3 linked regions of the Oryzias latipes genome follow. The protein of the gene in region 2 purifies or fractionates together with the protein of the main gene of each other region. This does not show direct contact. Links are inferred from orthologs where the notes say so. Each region holds a gene or a part of one and is shown on either strand. Other genes may lie near its edges.

Region 1 (6,872 bases), on a different chromosome or scaffold from region 2:
TCAAAAGATTTGAGTTTTCCCCTTAAACTGTCTGCTCAATCAAATGGTAGAGCACATTCAGAAAATGTATATTTTTAAAAAACATTTTGAGTATTATTCCCCTTAGTTCAGGGGTCTGTCACCTGACTTCCTTTTGGTTCATTGGATTTACACATTTCTGGGTGAGACGCACCACAAAAACAAACTATGCTTTTTCTTTCCTTTTATTTTATTATTTTTTTAAATCAATGCTGACATTACACTACCTACTACATTTGCTGCATTGAGAGGATCCTTTGTGACACTGGGTGTGTTTTATTTCAAAAGGAAGTCATGTAAACCTATGTCAAAATGTATCAACTAGTTTATTTTTTGAAAAAGTCTATTTTCTCTTTGCCAAACAACAATTCATGTGCAAGTATCATAACAGAAATACAAATCTATAAGAAGAAATAAAATTTTGTGTCTCCTACAAGGTTTTGGTCAAAGAGAAATCCACCCAAATGGCTCTTTTAAGTGTTGAAGGTTGCAGGCAATATGTAGCAGGAAAAAAAATCATTTTTTATTGATTTTGTCTTGGTGGGTAGCTAATGGGTTAAATACATCAACCATAGCAATCATGTCGGATGGGTTACGTATCATTTTTGGCACCAAGCTTCTGAAATGAGAGCTTCTTCTGCTTTTCCAGGGAGGATACAGTCATCAGAAGGCCCCCAAAGAGGAACATGAAGACAAAGTCAGCCGTTCGTCCCCTGAAGGAGCCTTCCTCCAGCATCCGGCAGTATCTGTAGCTGAGGGCAGACTGTTAAGGAAGCCCGCACACAAAGTCTCCACATTAAGCACATGTTTGGAATGATTGCAAGCAGCAGCATGTTCAGAATATAATTCATCTGAAAGTCATTAAAACATTTACTGTAAAAGGGCTGGCAGAATGAACACACATGACTGCTGCATCAAAATAAGGAAAAGGTTCGTTTTTCACACCCCGAGCGAAAAAAATACAAGATTTCAAGGATCCCTTTAAACTCCAAGTGATCTGATCTCTCTGTCAAACTGGTTCATTAAACACTGGCTGTCTGAAACTGAAACATGCAAAACGTCTTCCGCTCAACCAAGAAGGATACAGAAAAATCATATTAAACAGGAAATTGAAGCCAACTGGACCAAAAAACAGGAAGTTCGTTATTAGCCGCCATACCTAAAAAAAAAAAAGAAAAAAAGAAAAGGACATCCATACGTAAACTGCATGGAACCAAAGAAGCAGACGGCGTGCAGGGAACGCCCTGAGAGTCAGCCGGCTCACCTGGTAATTCCTCAGAATCAAATCTGGATTGAAGTAGAGCTGAAAAGGTGTGATGATCTCCAGTTGCTGCAGCGGGAACAAATAAACATCAAGTCAGGGGAAACATCTCAACTCTTGGATATTTTCGGTTCGATATCAAAAAACAACAACAAATGACTAAAAGTACAGAGAAATCCTTTTAATTTGCTAATAAGCAAATTTGAATGAAGAAAACCCTCTAGTGGTCTCATACCAAGCCTGGTGTAACATAATAAAGCAATATTAAATATATCTAATTTATCATAGCCCATGTTTGACACTTTCAACATAAAAACATGCAAACATACGCAGTAGGGACGTCAGGGATGATTCACTTTCTCCTAAATATGGTTGAAAGGTGTAACACACTGTTTGGTTTCAAACTAAGAATTGTGGCATCCCTACTGTTCCTGCCAATTCATAAGAATCTGTCTACCGGTAGTTGTTTGGTTAAGTGTGTAGCAGTCATTACTGTGGGTGGCATTTTTACCACAGACTGATGTTGTTGAGTGTAGTGGCGGGTGTGACTGCACGTGCAAACCGGTACTTTCCTGAAAACTTGCTTTCGTTTTAAATGTATTCGATTTTGTTTTACATTTATTATAAAGCTCTACTACTAGAAAATTCAAAAATCATCCTACATCAAAGAGGCAGCCAGCAGTGAAACCCTATGACCCTTTGACCTTCTGTCCTGAACCCAGTTATATCTACAAAAGTATAGTTTGTCACTTTGAAATGAGTTCCTCCTTTTAAATAAAACAGAGAATGCAAAGAAGTCTGGACACTGGACATCATTTCTGCAGAGCAGTGGGAGTTCATCAGAAATTCTTCTCCGACGCTTGGCGTAGAGCAACCTCACTTCCCATCATCCATCTGTTTACACGCTGTCCCGCTAGCTTAGAGCCCCTCACAGCCCAAAGCTAACATTAGCGGTGCAAGGAAAATGGCGAGGAAAATTGGAGCTTGCCAGCAGTACAGTTTCGAGGCAGATGCAGCTCAGACGTACACGGATCTATTTGTCTGCAAGTGAATGCATCACAATGGAGCGGAGCAGGGAGCTTGTGGCCCACCCAGCATATTTTCTTTGTCACAAATAAGCTCTTTTTCAAACTGCATTTTTTCATCTGCTTCTGATTCACAACAATTTGAATCAAGAAAAACTCAGAAACGCAAGCCAATCAGCTTTCACTGAGTTGCACAGGTGGTTTGACAGAGAGTTTTATGCTGGATGCCCTTCCCGACACAGGCAGGCGGGCTGGGGACCGACACAGGCAGACCGACACAGGCAGACCTAGGCTCAAGCCCCCTTGTGGGTACATGGTTAGGCAGTAATGTGAAGGGTCTTGCCCAAGGACCCCCTCTAGATGAAGCTCACCATGGCCCCTGGGAAACGAACCCTGGTTTCCCAAGCATCAGTCCTGCATGCAGGCAGCTGAGCCATCCAGCCGCTTACTATTGCAACAGTTAGTGCTGGTAAATGTTAAGAACACATTTTTAGACATAGAGGAGCTGCTTTTTTGACCCAGCTGCAATAAAACAACATTTTTTAATTCCCAACTGGAGAAAAAGGCAAACGGTCACATTCACAATCCCTTTATTTCATTTCAGCTGCACTTTTGCTAATTTCCTTTAACATTTTTCTCTTGTTTCAACACACCATTTCCCGGCAACAAAAACAAAAGTATGTGGAGAGTGTGTGGCTTTTAAACTGAGTAGAAGAGTCCGATTAGTCATTTTCGTGCCTGTTTTGGTGAAAGTGTTGTTGCACAAATGTGTCCAAAGTTTATCGCTATTATAAACGTAGTTTTTCCCATAAACCCCGGTGTCTGTCAGACACCAGCTGTGATCATAGCACAGCAAGAAGTTGTACTTTTCAGTGATTTACAAGCGGAAATAAGATTTATCCAAATCGTTTAATGGAAGCTGTATCAGCCGTATCAGCTGGTGTCAACCCAGAAGTGCGGTTCCCCTGGAGGGATGCCGGTCCATCACAGGCCCCCTGACAGAGAGCTTTCTCATCATGCTGTGTGTGACAGTCCTCCTCCAGCGAACCTGAAGACATTCAATCTGAAGTGGATCAAAAAGCGGCGCCCGCATCCCCCTGCAGTCTAAAGCAGACGGGGAGGAAATCTTTCCCTTCCTTATGCAGAGAAAGTCAGGTTGCTCTGTGTTGCATCACCTGATCGGGACTGATATTTAAAAGAAAAATAATAAGAAAAGCTGGGTTCTCTCTCCTGGCACATGTTTTTCTGTAATTAAACACTTGCTTAACATTTTTCCACATCAATCCATCATCACTGAGGCTCTCTGGGATTTTTGAAGAAGCTCTCCTCATCATTCACACCCTCTGTAATGCTACAGTTTAGAGATCAGCATCACTAATGTGTCCCAATGATGCTGAAACAGAAACATCACCTCAGAGACCAACTTCTGTGACGTGAAGCTGACATGAAGACAAGTTTAAGCCTCGTTTCTAAAAAAAAAAAAAAGATGACGGTCCGCCTCATCCCAGCCTTTATTTTGAAGCTTCGCGTTCGCTTCCTGTCATCCCAGCAGGCCACTAAAGGGAACCAGTAAGTTCCAAATGTTAACTGTTTTGACCTGGTTCGGCAACGAAAGCAGGGGGAGATGGGAAATAACCCAGGTTTTCGGGGCGCCTTGTCACCCAATCCGCGCACTCACTCCCGTACACGAACAGACGTGCTAATGCTACACGTTTGATGATCTGAAAACGACCGTTTTGTCACCTAAACCGCCACCGCAGGATGGCCCCGTTTCCATGTTTCTATACGGGAGCAGAGCTGGGCATCATCATGACAACACGTCACGGCTCCCTGACAGAGCGGTTGGAGCCAAACCAGAACCGTATCCTGGTACCGAGCAACGGAGGTCCCTGAACGGGTCTTACCACTGCAGCAGTCGTGAGGACGCAGGCCGTGGTGTAAGCTCTGGTGACGATAGGAATCTGTAAATACTCCTGCTGCAAGGTCTGGTAAGCCATCTTGGACAGACTGAACGCTTCCGGCACGGCGCTGACACGTCATTCTACACCGTGAGGCGTTCAAAACCGTAGGACAAATGTTCAGACCTCCGTCCCGCTCTTTGGCAGTAACCCCTTACGTCACGTTTCCGCTCTAGAACTTTCCATGTTACTCTCTGAGTTTTGTACATTACCTTTATGGAATTTAATTTTCTTAGTTCTACTTATTATTCTTATTATTATTATTTAGAAAACGTAAACAGTCGGTAAAGAGCAATGAACAATGTAAACACATTGGAACAGAACCAGGGGGAATTACTAACACTCAAACCAACCATGACTTCTAACATGTATTGTACATAAACAGACTATTTTTCATACATTTTTGATAGATGTCTCTCATATATGGTTAATATAGAAAGTGAAATAATTATAAAACTATACTAATCAGATTTCTGGTTACTGTAATTACATTTGTGAATGGGATATTTTGCTGCTATGATAAAAAAAAATTCAGTATGAATTTAGAATCTTCTTTTAACTTCTTTCAAAAGAAACCAAATAAAATGTTTACCCATTTTTCAAAGAAAGGTCCTTATGATGAACTCATTTTTCCAAAAAATTATTGAACGTGAGCCGATCAATGAAGTGATAAATTGTCTCTGGGTGATCTCCAAAATAAGGAACTATTAGTATCAGAGGCGATCCTGGCTACTTTGGCGCCTTGGGTGAAACACTGGACAGTGTCCCCCTTTCCAGCCCCGCCCTCAATGGGGAACAGAGATCAATTCTTTAAAATATAGTGTGCCATAACTATTTTTGTTGCTATATCACTACTGTGGTCTAAAAACATATTTTCCCAACTTCAAATTATACTGGATTATTAAAATAACCAGTTGAGTAAGATATGGAGGCCATCCGCCAGCAGTGGCGTGATAGGCTGATGATGATGATTAAAAGAAAAAAGAACAGGAAGGAATTGTATACACTTTTAAGAAGCATAATGATGCCTGACAGAATGACATAAAGATTATGGCATATTTCTTTGCTGTGACTGCCAGCTGAAAAGGGTTTAGCAAATTGGATAAATATATTAATTGTCCATTTTTTAATAATAAGGGCTGCAGGGTTACAGAACCATAGCATTCTCTTTACTTAGCAGAAAAACAAGCCAAACAAATGCGTTTTAAAGCTCAGTGACACAGTGTCTCTGTTTGGTGTTAAAGGTTCATAAATCTGAGAAATTTAGGAGATGACAGAGGACTTTGGTATGATCCTCTCTGGCTGGGTAATTACAGATTCATAAAATATCAATAAACATTTTCAAAATAAAAGGACCAAGAGCTGTAACCATCACTTTGCTAAACAGGAAGTATGGTCTAAAGTTTGTTTTTAAGCTCTACAGAACATCAGTGTGTGTGTTATATGTAAACATGCAAATAGCTGCATGGGTGTTTCAACAAAAAGATATTAAGACCTCTGGGTGAGTACTTGGTGAAATATTGTTATAGAAAAGCAGTGATGGAGCTAGAACATTTTATGTAGGTGGGGCCGACATGACTTGTTTGTTATCATAAAGCACTGCATGGTAACAGACTCGGCAAGAAAGACACACAGTCACTGGCCACTTTATTAGGTACACCCTGCTAGTACCAGGTTGGACTCCCTTTTGCCTTCAGAACTGCTTAAATCATCGGTGGCATAGATTTAACAAGGTACTGGAAAGATTCTTCAGAGGGTTTGGTCCATATTGACATGACAGCATCATGCTGCAGATTCGTTGGCCGAACATTCATGATGCTAATCTCCCGTTTCCACCACATCCCAAAGGTACTCTGTTGGATTGAGATCTGGTGACAGTGGTGACCATTTGAGTCCAGTGAACTCATTGTCATGTTCAAGAAACCAGCCTGAGATGATTCCAGCTTCATTACATGGCACCTTATCCTGTTGGAAGTAGCCTTCAGAAGATGGTACACTGTGGTCAGAAAGGGATGGACATGGTCAGCAACAATACTCAGGTAGGCTGTGGCATTGGACCCATGCTCAACTGGTACTAAGAGGCCCAAAGTGTGCACAGAATGTCCCCCACACCATTACACCACCACCACCAGCCTGAACCATTGATACAAGGCAGGATTGATCCATAGTGTTGTCGATGCCAAATTCTGACCCTAACATCTGAAGCGAAATGGAGACCCATCAGACCAGACAATGTTTTTATAATCTTCTATTGTCCAGTTTTGGTGAGTCTGTGTGAATTGTAGCCTCAGTTTCCTGTTCTTGGATGACAGGAGTGCCAGGAGTGTTGTGTGTTCAGAGATGCTCTTCTGCAGACCTTGGTTGTGACCAGTGGTCATTTTAATTACTGTTGCCGTTCTATCAACTGAAACCAGTCTGGACATTCTCCTCTGAACTCTGGCATCAACAAGGCATTTCCACCCACAGAACTGCCGCTCACTGGATATTTTGTGTTTTTCTTATCATTCTCTGTAAACCCTAGAGATGGTTGTTGGTGAAAATCCCAGTAGATCAGCAGTTTCTCCACCAGATGCACTGGCTTCCCATAACCTCCAGAATCCAATTCAAACT
Region 2 (4,913 bases):
ATTGTAAAGTGTGACTGTCTAGAAATGCTGTGTTTGGTTTTCAGGCTGCAGTGCAAGACAGACTCAATGAGCAGGAAGGAGTTCCTAGTGTGTTCAATCCTCCTCCATCCAGACCGCTTCAGGTTAACACAGCAGACCATAGAGTTTATAGTTACATCGTTTCACGGCCTCAACCCCGGGTATGTCTTTATTCGTATTATCTCAACCCCAGATAAGATTAGTAGAAAAAAATTGTTTATTCTAGCTTGATATGTATGGTCTTTGAAACTATGGCACTGTTGTTTTTCTAGAAGTCGTCTCTGTTTTTCTTTTGATTTGTCATTGTGTGTTGCTGTTCAGTTTTTATTTATTTATTATTAATTGCTATTAAATGCTATTTTGCAGGGATTACTAGGATGGAGTTACTACTTGATAATGCTCCCCTTCAGATTTACATATTACACACTCCTGGACATATTCAGGTAATTGAATCACATCTGCTTAAGGTACTTTTGCTCATTTATGCATTAAAGCAATAGAGTTTCACATGTGTCCTCCCCTTTATTTTCAAGGTTTGCCCTACGGTTCATTAGGCCAGATCCTCGCGGTCGCGTGACAGACCCTGTTGGAGATGTGGTGTCTTTTATTCAAAGTTTTGAAGAGAAGTATGGCCGGTCACATCCTGTGTTTTACCAGGGGACCTACAGCCAGGTGAAAAGATAGTTGGAGAGAATAGAAACACATTTAACAGAAGCGGATAGATGGAATGGCATAGAAACTGAGCACGTTTGTGTTGTCTGTTTGTGTTTGCTTTGCAGGCACTGAATGATGCCAAACGGGAACTCCGCTACCTGTTAGTGTATCTTCATGGAGACGACCATCAAGACACAGACGAGTTTTGCCGGTATAGTAATCATCTTTGTGTTGTGGCCATCTGGACTCCTGAATATGTAGCACTCATTCAAAGACTGTTGATATATTAGCCCAATAGAGCTGTTACGAGTATCTGAATACTCGAATATTTACAATCTGTTCCCGAAAATGCAACTACAATGTGATGTCAGAGATTTCCGAATTATGATCTTCCAAATACCAAAAATCTAATTATGTTGTCTGAAGTGTATTTTTACTATGAAATGTAGTGAAAATACACTTCAGACCATGTAATTACTGCTCAAAGATGCTATTAAATTACAAATTTTCAGTTTATATACTAAACAAACTGAATGTGCAACTGTTAGGGAAGTAAATGAAATTTCAGAGTAAAGTGTCGGTGAAGGTTCTTATTTTCTAATGACTTAGATAAAAAAAAAAGACTGAAGTTCAGTTTACTAATATGTGTTCTGAAAAAAATAAATTTGTTTGAAATATATTAATAAAAATAAAGATGAATAGGAATTTTAGAATATTATGAAAATTGTATCAATTTCCTTTTAAGTTTTTTTTTGTTTTCTCGATTGAACATTACAGAACAAGGCTTAACACAGCGAACCAGCAAAAGAATCCAGTAATTACAGCCGGAAACCCAAATGCAGAACAACAGACAATGGCGAGACAGAGTAAACGCAGTTTTGTTATGCGGGGCTTGTGTTCTTCTGTCTGGAGACACTTTGTCAGTTTAGATCAAAGGACTGTTTTCTTGTTGCTACAGAGTTGCTTTTATTTAGGTATTGCTGTGTCTTTTCGTAATTTATTTACTGTAATTATAGTCAGCTAAAATTTGAGGTTTGAAAATCTGTGGAGGACATTTTCAGTAGTTTGTTGTAAAATGGCACAAACAGCTGTGACATTTGTTTTGTTTACTGCAGAAGTCAACCAGGAAGTTCACCGAAGAACTTTTGAGGGTGACACTGTTTAAAGTGATCATTTCTTTCTTAGTGTTTTTATATTTTATTTTTCATTTAGCCTGGTCTCCTCTTTAAGATAAAGGTATAGATGATGATGATTAAATACATACTATTTCACTTCTAATTCATCCATTGCAAAGATATTCAGTGGTGGGCAAAATTGTTGGTAGCCTTCAGTTAAAGAAAGTCCACAATACTCACTGAATGTTTATGGAAAATAGTGAGAATTTGGGTTTGATTTCAGATGGCTTAAGTAACAATCTACAGCTCTATCCATTTATTGAATTTAACATCTGTATAAAAAAATGTATAGCTAGCTGCTTTGGGATAATATATCCAGACTAAAGAAGTATTTGTTTTGTTATCTACTGTTTCCCTTTTTAGTTCGACGTTATGTACAGAAGAAGTCATAACCTTCCTCAACACACAAATGCTGTTTTGGGCATGTTCAACCAGCAAGCCTGAAGGCTACAGAGGTTTGTCCTTTTTATGCCGTCAGTCAAATACTTTTGTAAAATGTCACTCGTTGTTCTGAACATCAAGTTCATGTTTGATAAAATAAGGTTCTTTCTAATGCAATTTATCCATATTTAATTACCAAGACAGGGTTATTTTTAATAAGGAAATCTGCATCATTGACATTCATATTTTAGTACAAAGTAATTTTTACTCTGGTGTTGTAAAATAATGTTTCTAAAGGTACTGTTTTATATAATAATTTCAAAGATGCTGCTTTTTATCTTAAATATTTTTAATTTATAAAAAAATATAGCTTATTAAATCTGCATAGCCATTTAACTCAGACCTTGGAGTGGCACAAATATATCCAAAAGGAAAATGTTTTATTATGAATTAGTAGCATCCCGCTTCTGCTCCAACAAAAGTACTTGAGTGTCTGGTTTGAATGTTGTGGTTGAAGTGTCCCAAGCTTTGCGGGAGAACACCTATCCATTCCTGGCCATGATCATGCTCAAGGACCGCAGGATGACTGTGGTGGGCAGACTGGAGGGTCTCATTCAGCCAGAAGACTTCATCAATCAGCTCACCTTCATCATGGATGCCAACCAAACATATCTGATGTCAGAGCGCCTTGAACGGTGTGTGAAACGGGATCTTTTTTAATATCTTAACAGGAAATCGATTTTGTTTATATTTGATCTTAAAAATTAAATTGATCACTAGTGTATCAACGATCTGAAACAAATATGTGGGTTAAAGCCTTTTTCTTATTTTATTTAATGTGCATTAAGCACATTAAACTCATTGTAAAATGTGTGATGCTCATGTGAGTCAAAGCGGTGCAGACAGGCACTGCACACTAATGCACAGCCACTAAACAACAGTTGGAGTTGAGATGACGTTTTAGTTGCAACATGGACATTTATAGAGAGTTGGATGACGTTTCTGTTGAAGCTCAATGTTCTAAAAGAAATGGTTGCTTTTATTATAGAAAGTTGTGGTGTAGATCTTCTGGGTTAAAACCACCACATGGTATCGGTTAATGCTACCAAAATAGACGTGTACTGTGAAATTCATTTTCATTTAACACGATATGAAAAAGAAAATTTGAGAATTAGAGAAAATGTGAGATTTTTCATTCAGTTTCTGTGCAAAAAGTTAACAAAGAGGGTCAGGTGGTCCTTAACTAGACCCATAAGTCCCCGCATATCGCTCGATATAGGGGGACTGCAACAGTTATGGTTTTTGTTTTTTATGGTTTTATATAAGTTCTTTTTCTCTTTTTTAACACATTTCTGAACACTTTTGGGTTAGAGTAAGTTGTATAATTTCTGCTCCTGGCTGATGGTGTCAGGTGGCATCGTGTCTGAAGCCAGGTCTCTCCTCTTGTGAGTTAGACATCACGTTCAAATCATCATCAAAGTCGTTTTATAATGGTCTTATCGTTGCTTTAAATACCTATATACTCCGTGTTTAATAAGCATTTACTGGGATAATAAACAACACATATTAATTTTTAATTAATTAATTTAATTAATTTAATTAATTTTTAATTAATTTTATTAATTAACTTAAATAAATATTTTGGTTTATAGTGAGGAGAGAAACCAGACCCAAGTTTTGAGGCAGCAGCAAGACGAGGCTTATCTCGTCTCCCTCCGTGCCGACCAGGAAAAGGAGAGAAAGAAAAGGGAGGAGCTGGAGCAGCGAAGGCAAGAGGAAGAGAAGGTCCGGCAGAGTGCTCTTGCTGAGGAGCGGAGACGGAGGGTGACTATTGCTTTCTTTAGATAAGAACAATGTTCTCGCCATGTAAAACGTTCTCAATTAAATGGCACGCTTTTGGATTTCAGAACCTGGAGGAGGAGAAGGAGAGGAAGTCTGAATGTCTTCCATTGGAGCCTCCTGCAGATGATCCAGAAAGTGTCAAAATAGTGTTCAAGCTGCCCAATGACACACGGGTGGAACGGCGATTCCTGTTTGGCCAATCTCTGACGGTCAGTAACGGTTGAAATCAGATTTCTGTTTGGTGAATTCTAAAATGCATTAAGATTTTCTTCTTTGGTTTAACTAACTTTGATTTTTAAAAAGGTTTTAAACAAAGTTATGTTAGAGATAGCTTAAGTAAAACTCTAAAAAGCATTGAGTTTTTCCCCAATAAATAATGTTTTTCCAGAAGCACCTTACACGTACGCTGATGCATCTATGATTGACTGATTTATCTTCCACAGGTAATACACGACTTCCTGTTCTCTTTGAAAGAAACGCCAGAGAAGTTTCAGATAGTCACAAACTTCCCTCGTCGAGTCTTGCCCTGCCTCCCCACTGAAGAACAACCCAACCCCCCCTCACTAAAAGAGGCTGGGCTCAGCCGCTCGGAGGTACTTTTTGTTCAAGACCTTACGGACGATTGATAGATGGTACCACCTCCCTCTGTGGAAACCGATTTCTCCTCTGACAGCCACTCATCTTCCTCCCCTCCTCTTTTTCATATTGTGTTAAATGGCCATTATGCATAAGGGATCATTGAGCTTGACCTGGAGAGTTGAACCACCCCTGCATTCAGTGCTTGTTTGGTTGACAGGGTTCCCAATAGCCTGGAAAGTCTTGAATTTTTTCAAATAAATATAT
Region 3 (6,810 bases), on a different chromosome or scaffold from region 2:
TGTTTTACGGTCAAAATGACTTAAGCCAAAAGCTGTCCTTGTTGATTTTAGATTGAAGAATTATTCAAAGAGCATGCTTCCACTTTGAGGCATCTTATCCTATCATCCCACAACTTACCAGAGACAGAAAAGGGGAAAGTGCAGTTGTAGAGGAGTGCCAGCTCGCCAATCGTATCCCCTGGTTCAATTGTCAGCAGCTTGCACCCGTCTTGAGTCACGCTCAATCTTCCTTCTGTCAACATCACACACTTAGTAGGAAAAAGGAGCACATTGATAGTATAGAATCCATGTCGGATAAAAGTAACTGTCAGCTTGATGCGCACTTCATGCACAAAAGATGGTTCAAGTGACAAGACTGAAAGCAGGAGGCAGCTTCCTCTCTGATGAAATCTACGTTCAGTTCATGACCTCTTTTCTCCTGGTATTCTTGTTCATGTTCCCCGTCTTTAAGCGGGAGCTATTTGTGTGCTTTAAACCATAAAGCTGTCATCAAATGCAAAAAAAAAAAAAAACAAGCTGCAAAATGAGTTTTAAAAAGCAGTTGTTGGTGAAAACAAATTATTTTAGCCACTTTCCTCACAAGAAACCTCTAATAAATAATCTTAAGGATGACAGATGGCAGCAATTTACCTTCTAAAATAAAAGCCTGCTCCCCAGCGCTCCCCTCCTGTATGAGAGTGCAGTTTTGATTGATGGAGCAGCGATATGTGCAGGATGTGACAGCTCTCATTTCTCCTTCGTCTAAGTTCTTCAACAGGTCGTTTTTCAAAAGCCCTGCCTGGATCAGGCTTTGAGATCTGATGACACACAGGGATGATAAAGATGCAACACTCCGAGTGTAGCTGTCAATCACCTTAAATGCCGCGCCACAAGCCACAAATGCTGACTCAAAATGCTTGACCATTGAGTGATGCTAAAAAATTTGAAAAGTTGGCCTTCTTAGCTGAAGTTGGAGGAACACAGTGTGCTCTTACTGTTGACTTTTGTCACAGCTTTTGTGTGAAATCCTGGCGAGAGTCACGGGGTCCGGGCTGAAGGGTTCTGAAATGACTGTGTGCTTTTTAGCTCGCTCCATGCCCTCAATTTGAGGAGCTATAAAAAATAATTGAGATTTTTAGGTCACGTCTACAACCTGTACTTTTAAATGATTGACCTACTCTTTACCTGCACTGGGTGAGGGTCCTGAGAGGCAAACAGTGGTCCTGTAACGGTCCAGTTCTTCCTGTAGCCTTCGAATGAGTTCATCCTTTGTATCCAGTTCAAGCTCCAACTCATCTATGAGTGTGTCTCTCTGGCGGAGCTCCTCGATTTTTAGTTGCAGAGCAAACTGGAGGTCCCTCAGTGTACCCATGATCTGCAGGCATCAGCCAGGAAAGCACAAAGATAAACAGCTCGTTGCTATGAGAATAAAAAAGAAATTGTAATTTTTTATTTCACAAACTTAAATATGAAAAATATTATGCATATCTATCTATGTCAAAATGCTGCCTTGCAATTGTAGCACACATTTCCATCCAGGTTAAAGGCAAAAACAATTCATTGTCAAGTGCATCATAAGTTTATCCCACTAAAAAGAATACATTTTCAGAGTAAACAAATTATACTTTTTTTTATTATGTACGTTTTATGTGAAGCTGCAAGGTTTTATGTAGGCTATATAAAAATTGTCAAAAGAGAAAAAAACAATAACAAAGATAAATTGTCTTTATCATCTTAAATTTAATTACACTCAGCCACAGATCCATTGTTTTTTCAACACCTAATTGATGGATGGTACACAAATGCTACTCACCGGTGTAGGTGAGCAGTCCGCCTGGCGTCCTCAAGTGAAGGATGCTGGTCAGGAGGAATGCCCACAGCGCAGACAGGCGGTCACGTGACGCGGGCTCCCTCCAACCACGAGGAGGGGGAACAGAATGACACATGCACAGGCTGGATCCGAACTGGGTCAGAGGAAAGTAGTTCTAATGGGAAAATTTGACACTAAATTTTGCTTTCGGAAAGAAAAAAGAACGAGCATCTGCCCGACTTTGGACATTAAAAAAATGTCAATGCTGTAAACGCATTTTTTGTGAAAATCTTTTTGTGTATTGAACATAAGCAATAGAAGGTGGTCAGGTAATTATGGGTAAATTGTAACAGTAATCTACAGGTGAGTCGGATCCAATTTTCTTTTCAAATTGACAAACACGTTACTATTCAAATGTAATGTAATGACAAAAGTTTATCACCATGTTTTTTGTCTGTCAAAGGAAAAAAAACACCCATGTGTGTACAGGTGTATTGGCACAGTATCCTGCTTAGGAGATCAATTTGGATATCATCGCCTAACCACTTTAGTTCCGATAAACTTTTAATTGAACTTTAATCGTGGTGTCATTTCTTCTTAGCTGCGGTACATCCTTCATGCCAGTAGGCGGCAGCAGCATTACTTGATGTCAGCAACAGAGGCAGTGGCATCGTTGAGAGGAAACAGGAGAAGAAGATGGGACGCTGACGGGACCACAGCCAGTGTGGCTATAACGAGCAAACTTAGTAACCCTTTTGGCTGGACTTTAATCACATTATTGTGTGTTTTTGTTTTTAGTGAGAGTGTTGAAAAATGATTCTTACAGTAAAGCCACTTCAAGGGAAGGAGTGCAGTGTTCAGGTTAGTTAAAAAATCGAACTCCATAATGCTAATTTGCACAATCAGCTAGCCGGGTATATCTGTTAGCCGCTCAGCATCATAAGTTTTTTAAAGTGCTTTGAATAAAGTGAACATAAATTTAATTTATTAGTGACTGTAACTCTAACACTAACCAGTACTAAAGATGCGGTTGTACATATACACACCCGTTTATAGTTCTAAAGCAGCTTTACCGCAGCTAGCATGTTAGCTAATTTAGAAATGCAAGACGAAGAACTCTTTCTGTCTGAATCATTCTCGCTGAGGTCACGCCCAGCAGCTGAGTGGAAGTTGTTGTTACTCCTTACTTGGTGCTAATGCAGTAAAGAGAAGTGAGTAAGGAACCGCGGTGTATTAGAGGACTTTGTTTGGTCAGCGCGTTGAAACAAAAAACGGTGTTGGTATTATTTTACAGTTCAGCAGTTATATTTGCTGCTCCTGGATGTGCCTTTGTGTCAAATCAGTTAAGACATACAGTTGCATGAAAGCAGCATTATGAACCTGCTTCTCTTATCACAAATTTAGAATTGTATATATTTTTCATTTACATAAAGTAATCATTTTAAAACTCCACAGCACTTCATTAACTTTTTTAATTATGTAGTTATATATTCTATTTATAATTTTTTTTAACCAAAACATTTTTTTGGTTTTGTGTTGTTCTTATTTTGAGTACCGTAGTACTTATGATCATGTTTTTTTTCTTTAATGCCAACTTTAAAGTGTAGCGGTAATTACACATTATACATTATATATGGCTGTTCTTCAGATTAAGTCAAACATGTGCACTTAAAATTGGTCATACAAAGCCATTTAAGACATCTATTGAATTAGATTTTAAGCCGAGAATTTTATCCCAGACAAGACAGTGAGTTTTCGGCACATTTCGAAAAAAATACGAAGGCTTTGAATAAACAATATATTTGTAATTGTTTTGAATTATTGTAACAAATGTTTTTGTCTTGAGCTGATAAAACGTTTTCACAATAGGTACTTTGTTACTTTATTACATAAAATGAATTATTTATTTTGCCCGTTTAATACTGTTTTTATGTATTCATTTTTTTTATTATTGCATCCTTAGAACTTGTTTTCCCCGCAGTCTTTCTATACCAGTTGACTCTATTGTTCTTGTTTAAATTACAGTTTAAGAATTTGTTTTTATCCCACAGGTGACAGAAGATGAAAAGGTTTCCACAGTGAAGGAACTTGTTTCTGAGCAACTCAACATACCAGCAAACCAGCAGCGGCTGCTTTACAAAGGAAAGGCACTGGCAGGTAAAATTTGCCTACTACTTTTTTTTCTTTCCTTTATACTTTTGTCAGGTTCATAATTTATCTTTCTGTATGCCCTTTTTTCTTTCAGATGAACACAGACTTAGTGATTATTCCATTGGACCAGAGGCTAAATTGAACCTAGTAATCCGTCCTGCAGGAGAAAGATCTGCAGCCTCAGCAGTGACTGGCTGCAGCAGCAGGAACATGGGAGGACTGTGGCAGACTGTGTCCACTATACTTGCTAGACACTTCAGTCCAGCAGATGCAGCAAAAGTTCATGAACAGCTTATAAAGGTAAGATAAGTTTTTATTCATGGTTTCCCAAAAGTTGTAATGGTTAAAGTTCTGTTACTGCCTTTCAAACCCACTATATAAATTATATTACAAAACGAATGTCTATTTTAACTATTTAAAATAATTTGTCATGTTGTGAGCTTGACAGTTAAGCTCCTCTTTGTTATTACTAAACTTTGTTTTTGTTTGTTTTTAGGACTATGAACGTTCACTTCGACAGCTCAGCCTGGATGACATTGAACGACTAGCAGTGCGATTGCTTCACCCTGACAGCGAGAGCATGGACACCTCCTACATGGACTAGCATTGGAAAACCTAAATCTACTTTGTATGAATAGATTTAGGAGAAACTACATGTTTGGGAAAATAAATGTGAGGCCATTGAGAATACAATGTGTGCCTAATCAGTGATTATTGATATTGCTGACTTGTGTCAGTGACTAATGTTTATCTCAGCAATAGGGCTTTCTCATGTGTGTTTTCTCTTCTATTTTTAATATTGACACCATTTGTTGAAAGACTAGTTTTTTTTGTGTAAAATCAAAACACAAAAACATTGTTTCGTGCTAATGTTGCTTGATTTCTGGCTGCTGCAATTCCAGGCAACACTAACTTCCACTTGAGACTATTTATTATTCATGTCAGCGTTGAATGATGCCTGTTTTTATTTTATTTTTTTCATTTAAACGTGGGATAAAAGAATACACACATCTTTTATTGTTCAGATGGCCATTGTGCGATTTGTAAATATTGTTTATATATGACGACAATAAAAGATCAAGAAATTACTACGTTTTTTTGTTTTTTTTACGTTGTATTGTGAGAAATAGTTGTGTTTTGTGTAAATATTGCCGGTTTGGAAACAAGGAGAAGGAAGACTGAAGAGAATGTCGCAAGGCGGGACATTTTATTTTACCGCTGGGCGAGAACAATTAAGGGAGCCAATGAAGCAATAGCAAGACACGTGATCTATGTTTTTTGACCAATCAGGTGGGTTGCCACCAACGCTCCGCCCCTCTTTCCAAGCATTTGGTCTGTGCTTTATGTTCTGGTTACTTGTAAACCAGCTCCTATAAAATGGTGTATTTTAAACATATTTAGCATAATTTAAAGTATGAAACATAGAATAGTCGGATAGGGGTGGATATATTCGTAAACACTGAAAAGGTAAGAATGTAATATCGGGTTTATTTATTTATTTATGGCCAGTAAGCTAATGTTAGCATGAAGCTAGCAGCACATACTGTACTTCCTGCATTCATCCAGCGAGCGTTAGCAGATAACATTTATTACCTCGGACTTTGTCGATAACAAATGTCTAAAATGTACGTGCTGTCACCTTTGCTACCGGCAATCAATAGTTAATTTTAAATTTCAAATCCCTTCAAGCTAGTAAGTAGTACATTGTATCCGATGTTGGTCGAGTTGAGGCGTTGAGTCCTCTCATCATGATCATCAGGACCACTTCTCCCTGGAGAAAAGCCTTAGTAGGATAGCAACGCGCCACAGAGGAGGAAAACTGAAGATCCTGTTCCTTAGAGCTAAGCCTAAGGTTATCAATTAAACATGTTAGAGATGGTTGCATCCATGAAGCAAACAGCCTTGTTTCTCGTTGTTGAGTGTCTTGATGTTTCTGTTCACATCCCTCATGTGTTCACCAACAGTAGGAGAGACGACTGGAAAGATGGAAACTTTGATTCCCACCATCAACCGGCTGCAAGAGGTCTTTCAGACGGTCGGGACAGAGATCATACAGCTGCCTCAGATAGTCGTGGTTGGGACTCAGGTCAGTGGATGGAAACCAGAATTGGAAAACTGAGTGAAAACAATGTTGTGTTTGTACACTTATCTTGTCTTGATTATTGGATAATCATCCAGAGTAGATGTATACTAAAGTATGGTTTCACCCAGTTCAGGGTTCTAGTTAAAAAGTTCTTTTTAAATTAAAAATAGATGATGTCCTGTTATTACTCATGTGCTGTCGTTGTTTTTATAACAGAGCAGTGGAAAAAGCTCAGTGCTAGAGAGCCTGGTCGGAAGGGATTTTTTGCCTCGGGGATCTGGAATAGTCACAAGACGACCCCTTGTGTTGCAGCTCGTCAATGTTGCTCCACAACAGGAAAGGCTGAAGAATGAGCATGGTAAACAGATTATGACTCAATGATAACTCAATTCGATGTAAAACACTTAGGCTTATAATTCTCTCACAGCATTGAGTTATGTTGAAATCTTTCTATGCACTTCTCTCTGTCACTTGGTTTTGATACAGGGTTTTTCTGAACTAACACATTTTCTTCCTCTTTTTCTTTACTACTTTTTAGGAAATGGGCTTAAACAAAATATTCAAAACAGCTACACAGGTCACTATATTTGATCTGCATGAGAAAAAGTTTCTACTTCTTCATGTTTACCATTAACCGTCTCACTCATTTAGTTAATTCAGTTTATTTTCATTATGTTTTTGCCAAATCCTTTTTTTTAAATTCATATTCCATTCTTTTATACTTTAATTCTTCATCCCTGACACTTTTATGCTCTTATTTTCTATTCAGGTGTCAAAGCTGAAGAAT

The links. The genes of interacting proteins can lie anywhere in the genome.
Region 1: the proteins of faf2 (region 2) and derl2 purify together in Homo sapiens (affinity purification with mass spectrometry; 5 studies listed by BioGRID and IntAct, counting the BioPlex papers as one, with this or other methods). This does not show direct contact. The link is inferred for Oryzias latipes from reciprocal best matches to the Homo sapiens genes FAF2 and DERL2.
Region 3: the proteins of faf2 (region 2) and ubl4a purify together in Homo sapiens (affinity purification with mass spectrometry; 3 studies listed by BioGRID and IntAct, with this or other methods). This does not show direct contact. The link is inferred for Oryzias latipes from reciprocal best matches to the Homo sapiens genes FAF2 and UBL4A.

What each region holds. Positions count from the first base shown.
Region 1 is NC_019870.2:24,448,521-24,455,392, forward strand, and holds the start of derl2 (derlin-2), read right to left. Parts: upstream 4,357-6,872; 5' UTR 4,302-4,356; coding exon 4,209-4,301; intron 1,349-4,208; coding exon 1,283-1,348; intron 1,178-1,282; coding exon 1,104-1,177; intron 771-1,103; coding exon 677-770; intron 1-676.
Region 2 is NC_019868.2:20,363,707-20,368,619, reverse strand, and holds part of faf2 (FAS-associated factor 2), read left to right. Parts: intron 1-44; coding exon 45-179; intron 180-384; coding exon 385-461; intron 462-551; coding exon 552-690; intron 691-797; coding exon 798-883; intron 884-2,210; coding exon 2,211-2,302; intron 2,303-2,745; coding exon 2,746-2,923; intron 2,924-3,880; coding exon 3,881-4,052; intron 4,053-4,135; coding exon 4,136-4,279; intron 4,280-4,513; coding exon 4,514-4,696; 3' UTR 4,697-4,913. UniProt on the Homo sapiens protein: Plays an important role in endoplasmic reticulum-associated degradation (ERAD) that mediates ubiquitin-dependent degradation of misfolded endoplasmic reticulum proteins.
Region 3 is NC_019867.2:16,993,974-17,000,783, forward strand, and holds ubl4a (ubiquitin-like protein 4A), read left to right. Parts: upstream 1-2,454; 5' UTR 2,455-2,602; coding exon 2,603-2,650; intron 2,651-3,840; coding exon 3,841-3,946; intron 3,947-4,034; coding exon 4,035-4,240; intron 4,241-4,436; coding exon 4,437-4,544; 3' UTR 4,545-5,028; downstream 5,029-6,810. Other genes in the region: cGMP-dependent protein kinase 1-like, read right to left, coding at 119-232, 631-797, 975-1,092, 1,165-1,351; dynamin-1-like protein, read left to right, coding at 5,925-6,026, 6,240-6,381, 6,562-6,600, 6,793-6,810. UniProt on the Homo sapiens protein: As part of a cytosolic protein quality control complex, the BAG6/BAT3 complex, maintains misfolded and hydrophobic patches-containing proteins in a soluble state and participates in their proper delivery to the endoplasmic reticulum or alternatively can promote their sorting to the proteasome where they undergo degradation.